Linked DNA regions of Saccharomyces cerevisiae S288C. The protein of the gene in region 1 purifies or fractionates together with the protein of each later gene. This does not show direct contact. Each region holds a gene or a part of one and is shown on either strand. Other genes may lie near its edges.

Evidence for each region.
Region 2: the proteins of SDH6 (region 1) and SDH2 purify together in Saccharomyces cerevisiae (affinity purification with western blotting; 2 studies listed by BioGRID, with this or other methods). This does not show direct contact.

The regions. Positions count from the first base shown.
Region 1 is NC_001136.10:1,232,624-1,235,653, reverse strand, and holds SDH6 (Sdh6p), read left to right. Parts: upstream 1-2,136; coding exon 2,137-2,376; downstream 2,377-3,030. Other genes in the region: phenylpyruvate decarboxylase ARO10, read right to left, coding at 1-1,436; GTPase-activating protein RGA2, read right to left, coding at 2,458-3,030. UniProt on the Saccharomyces cerevisiae protein: Plays an essential role in the assembly of succinate dehydrogenase (SDH), an enzyme complex (also referred to as respiratory complex II) that is a component of both the tricarboxylic acid (TCA) cycle and the mitochondrial electron transport chain, and which couples the oxidation of succinate to fumarate with the reduction of ubiquinone (coenzyme Q) to ubiquinol.
Region 2 is NC_001144.5:52,533-55,775, reverse strand, and holds SDH2 (succinate dehydrogenase iron-sulfur protein subunit SDH2), read left to right. Parts: upstream 1-1,844; coding exon 1,845-2,645; downstream 2,646-3,243. Other genes in the region: membrane morphogenesis protein VPS13, read left to right, coding at 1-1,565; ATG10 (E2-like conjugating enzyme), read left to right, coding at 3,186-3,243. UniProt on the Saccharomyces cerevisiae protein: Subunit of succinate dehydrogenase (SDH) that is involved in complex II of the mitochondrial electron transport chain and is responsible for transferring electrons from succinate to ubiquinone (coenzyme Q). SDH1 and SDH2 form the catalytic dimer.

The DNA.
Region 1 (3,030 bases):
AGGGCGGCAGGAAGGGCCATGCCAATGGAAAGGAAAAATCCTTGCGATATATATTTTAATTGCGAAGGAAACGCGAAATCACGAACAGAGAATTGAAAAGAGCCTGTTTCACAAACGACAACATCACCAGGGTTCAAAAATTTAGGCATCGTCTTTTGTAAGTGAACTTGTGTAATAATGCTTGATTGTCCATTGGTAGGATCTTCTAACCGCATTGTTTCGTTCGTATATTGAGTTACATTTGAATCATATTGCAAAGAAAGTTTAGAAACGTCAATGCGCTTGTATAGTTCTTTTAAAATAGGGGCAAAATTGATTCCTTTGAACATTTGCTCATTGCCCTGCCTAGTGTCCACAAGGCGAATATAATTCGGATGAAATTGAATGATTTTAGCATTTGGTTTATAAGTAAAAGTATAATGCCCATTATTAATTTCATTGATGTCGACTCCAAAATGCAAGACCAAGTCGCACAGTTCAAAATGTTCATAGACTTGTTTTAAACCTTCTTTACCATTATATTGACCCATATAAGTTGGGTTTGACTCATCAATTACAGATTTTCCCATAACAGTGGAAAAATTCCAAATCCCAGTTTTGCAGATAAGCTTGTTCAAAAAGTTACTCACACCATACCTATCAGTCAGTACGTCTCCAAGGATCGCAGGTGTTTTACTGGAATATATCCAACTAGTAATCTTGTTGATTATGTCAGACAATTGGTTTTCAGAAGGGTATACTATACAATCTTGTTGAGATATACGTGGAACATTAACCAAATTATCACATGTAACAGACATATCCGCAAAATCTGCAGGAACAAAAATATAACCAGGTTTAGAATACTTGTAAATATCGCGGATAACATTATCGACTTGGTCACATGCAGTTTCAATATCCTCCAAGTAGGCTACCGAGCAAGCGACTCTATCTTTTACCATATCATGATATACTTTATGATTTGGCCCTTTAAAATTTGAATCATGTAGCTGTGGGACCAAATGATGTAGGTTCCGATCACTAAAGTTACTTGAACGCGAATCTATGGACTTGGCCACACCAACAATGTGCAAAACTTTGACATTTTCAGCGAACGAACCGGCTATACCGTTCAAGGCGCTTAATTCACCAACGCCATACGTGGTTATTAAACAGCCAATCTTATTAGAGTAACGGGAATATCCGTCGGCCGCATAAGCGGCGTTCAGTTCATTACACGTGCCGACCCATCTTAGGCCAGCTGATTCAACACTAGGTGAATAGAGATATTCTAATAGAGATAAGTTGAAGTCACCAGGAACACCGAAAACTGATTTCGTATCGATGGACAACAATCTTTTAAATATGTATTCACCAAACGGAATTGTTGCTGATCGGTTGGAAACAAGGTGTCGTTCTTCTTGATTTACGAACTTTTCAATTGTAACAGGTGCCATGCTTAAGGGAGTTTCTTTGTTATCTTGTAAATAAACTTTACAGAAGTCGCGTCAACTTGTTTTGAGTATCAAGTTGAGAGGGTTGATCAGTTAAATATGTTTTATATCAGATTTTATGTAGTATTAATAAACGCAGAAAAAAAATGAAAGTGAGCTGCCGCTGTAGTGACGATGCAAACTAGCCCAGTTTATATCTTAAACTTTACTCAACACAATAAATAAGATGCCACTAACCTATTACATACCGACACTTACCGAAGGTATCAAAGCTCCGCCGCACAAAAGTACGACAAATGCTCAGCATGACCTCGGCAATTTTCGGTAAATGACGGCTATCCGCGGTTATCCCTCCCGGTAGGTAACCGACACTTTGGAGAGGATTCGCAAAGGCTCAAAGTAATATATGACGGCTTTTTCAAAAAATAGCCTAAGCCTACTACCAAATGTTAATAAGGAAGCTACATGAGGTGTACAAGCATCGAATTTTGGATTATCTTTTTCGCTAAGACGTTGTTGTACGCTTTCAATCCTGCTTTTTTAAATTTCGGTGGACGAACCAATCTAAAATGTAGTAAAACTGGTAGATGTTAATTAATTAACCTTGCAAAGCCGAAGAAAAAAAGGGGTTCGCCAAATTATTCTTAACAAAGATAATGTAGCTTAAACACACAAGAAGAAGAGGAGACGCAATACCAAGAGCATGCCTAAGAGATTAAGTGGGTTACAAAAAGAAGTCTTACACCTGTATAGGGCTTCCATACGAACGGCTCATACAAAACCAAAGGAAAACCAAGTTAATTTTGTGAATTATATTCATGAAGAATTTGGGAAGTATAGAAATTTGCCAAGAAAAGACTTCACCACCATTGAACACTTGTTACGGGTCGGAAACAAAAAAATTGCCACCTTTTCACACCCTGAACTGACGAATATACATTGAACTATTTTCTTACTTTATTCTTTTTTCATATGATTTCTTATTTAATCTATCCTATGTTTATTTAACTTTTGCAAATCTGTATTATGCTTGCTTAAATATGTCTCTATAGTTTCCAAGTATAAATTCCACGATATAATTCCTCTCCTTCATGTCCACAATATCTTTCTCGCCGTCAAAATCGTGGATAAGACTCGGTGCAAAGACCAACGACAAGTTATGTAAGTTCATTAAATTTCTTTCACTGCACCTTCGAACTTTGCCGATATGTGCTGCCAATACTTTCAATACTTCCTGATGCTCTACGGGTAAAATTTTGAAAATTTCAAGTAGGCTTTTGAGCACCATTTCATAAATAGTCACTTTTTGTGGTGAATCCAAAAACTTGTCGTTGTTTAATGGTAGCCTCTCAATTAGTTGGTTATTTCTAACTAGATCTATCAAGGCATCGTATATGGAAAATGATAAAACTGGATCTGGTAGTTTTCTCAAATATCGTTTTAATACGCTAGCCACTGCATGAATATCTTGATTCAGTAAAGCATTCAGTTTGGGACTTAATGTATCACTATGCAACGAATTATTCTGAGCGAATTCATTTTCGATCTCCTCAACCAAAGTCTGTGAGCCCGACTTTCTGTATAAGCCTTCCATGTT
Region 2 (3,243 bases), on another chromosome or scaffold:
CTTTCAGTTGGAAAATGAAATGGATGCAAATAGATAATCAATTATTTTCAGGAAACTACTCAAATATTCTATATCCAACAGAAATCCCCTACACAGAAAAGGAAATTGAAAATCATCCAGTGATATCAGGTTCTATTTCTAAAGTCAACGATTCCTTACAGGCTGTCCCATACTTTAAACATGTTACGTTATTAATCCAGGAATTTTCCATACAATTAGATGAAGACATGCTGTATGCTATGATGGACTTCATAAAATTCCCAGGATCCCCATGGATCATGGATTCAAGAGATTATAAGTACGATGAAGAAATCCAGTTACCTGATGTTTCTGAATTAAAAACGGCGGGTGATATATATTTCGAGATCTTCCATATTCAGCCCACCGTCTTACATCTGTCCTTTATACGCTCCGATGAAATTAGTCCAGGATTGGCTGAAGAGACCGAGGAGTCATTTTCGTCATCATTGTACTATGTCCATATGTTTGCTATGACATTAGGTAATATAAATGAGGCGCCGGTTAAAGTTAATTCTTTGTTCATGGATAATGTAAGAGTCCCATTGCCCATTCTGATGGACCATATTGAGAGACACTATACGACCCAGTTCGTGTATCAGATCCACAAAATTTTAGGATCAGCAGATTGTTTTGGTAATCCTGTAGGTCTTTTCAACACAATTAGTTCCGGTGTCTGGGACTTATTCTATGAACCATATCAAGGTTACATGATGAATGATAGGCCTCAAGAAATTGGTATACATCTGGCTAAAGGTGGACTAAGTTTTGCAAAGAAAACAGTCTTTGGCCTCTCTGATAGTATGTCCAAGTTTACGGGGTCGATGGCCAAGGGCCTGTCAGTTACACAAGATCTGGAATTCCAAAGGGTCAGGAGATTACAACAAAGAATAAATAAAAACAACAGGAATGCCTTGGCAAACTCAGCGCAATCCTTTGCCAGCACACTGGGAAGCGGGTTGAGCGGAATTGCACTGGACCCATACAAGGCCATGCAAAAGGAAGGCGCCGCTGGTTTCCTCAAAGGCCTTGGTAAAGGTATCGTTGGGCTGCCAACTAAGACAGCCATTGGATTCTTAGATCTTACAAGTAACTTAAGTCAAGGCGTGAAAAGTACCACCACTGTGCTTGACATGCAAAAGGGTTGCAGAGTGCGTCTACCAAGGTACGTGGACCATGATCAAATCATCAAGCCTTATGATCTACGTGAGGCCCAAGGACAATACTGGCTCAAGACCGTGAATGGAGGAGTATTTATGAATGATGAATACCTGTCGCACGTTATATTGCCAGGCAAAGAACTAGCAGTAATTGTGTCCATGCAGCACATTGCTGAGGTGCAAATGGCCACCCAAGAGCTTATGTGGAGCACAGGATATCCTTCCATCCAGGGAATTACATTGGAAAGATCCGGTCTTCAAATTAAACTCAAGTCTCAATCCGAATACTTCATTCCCATCAGCGATCCTGAAGAACGTCGGTCCTTGTACAGGAACATCGCCATTGCTGTTAGAGAATACAATAAGTACTGTGAAGCTATCCTATGATCACATATGAAAGTATATACCCGCTTTTGTACACTATGTAGCTATAATTCAATCGTATTATTGTAGCTCCGCACGACCATGCCTTAGAAATATCCGCAGCGCGCAAAAGGCGGCCTCGCATTGGCCCAATTAGCTCCGGTGTAAAAAGGGCAAACTTATATAAGGGGATTAATGACTTTCTATGAGAATGCCAAAAAATGTTAGGCTAAAGGAAGGGATTGAAAGGAATATAGTTGAGCTATACTTTCTTGAAATACTGGAGTATACATATTTATAGGGATGTTGAACGTGCTATTGAGAAGGAAGGCCTTTTGTTTGGTGACGAAGAAGGGTATGGCTACTGCCACAACAGCTGCAGCTACGCATACCCCCAGATTGAAAACTTTTAAAGTTTACAGATGGAATCCAGACGAGCCAAGTGCTAAACCTCATTTACAGTCATATCAAGTGGATCTGAATGACTGTGGGCCCATGGTACTTGATGCGCTGTTAAAGATCAAAGACGAACAGGATTCTACCCTAACTTTTAGAAGATCATGTAGAGAAGGTATCTGCGGTTCATGTGCCATGAACATTGGCGGTAGAAACACGCTAGCTTGTATATGTAAGATCGACCAGAACGAATCCAAACAACTCAAGATCTATCCATTACCCCACATGTTTATTGTCAAAGATTTGGTACCTGATTTAACTAACTTCTACCAACAATACAAATCTATCCAACCTTACTTACAGAGATCATCGTTTCCAAAGGATGGAACGGAAGTGCTACAAAGTATTGAAGATCGTAAGAAACTGGATGGTCTTTACGAATGTATTCTGTGTGCATGCTGCTCTACTTCATGTCCATCGTACTGGTGGAACCAAGAACAGTATTTGGGCCCTGCCGTGCTAATGCAAGCCTACCGTTGGCTAATTGACTCTAGAGACCAAGCTACAAAGACAAGAAAGGCCATGCTAAACAACTCCATGTCATTGTACAGATGTCACACCATCATGAACTGTACTAGAACTTGTCCAAAGGGCTTGAATCCTGGTTTGGCTATTGCTGAAATTAAGAAATCTTTGGCATTTGCCTAGACTATCAGAAAAACAGCTAGCCCCGAAGAACTCAGAAGCCTCTCAAATGATTTTGGCACTAATAAAAGCACCAACTATTATTATTATTATTTTCAAGGACGAAACTCACCATTCTCACACATTCCTATACGTTAGGCGTTTATGTTTACTCTCTATGACTATTATTTATTTATCATTGGCAATGCTATGACCCGGTCTGTATATATGTCCATCATAGGCGACAAGGTGTTCTAGTATCTTCAGGTATTGTTGTTTTTAAGGATGAATTTATATCTTTGTTTTTGAAGGGCCTTTTGGCTTCTCTCCCCTATTTATTCAATTTATAACTATTTATTATATTAATACACGCGTAATGCTTAAGGTTTATTATTAAAGGACTGTTTTTATATTTACATGCCTGTAGTTAATTATATTTTCGTTGTGAAATTTCTGTTAAGAAACTCTATATGAAAGGTAACGAACTTAAAATTGAAAAGCAATGAGAAGAGAACACCATGAAAAAAAAAAAAAAAGGGCTAAAAAACAGAATTATCAGACTTGATGATTCCTTACCAGGAGTGGCATAGCCAACTGCAATCGTTGTATGACTCCCAGATTT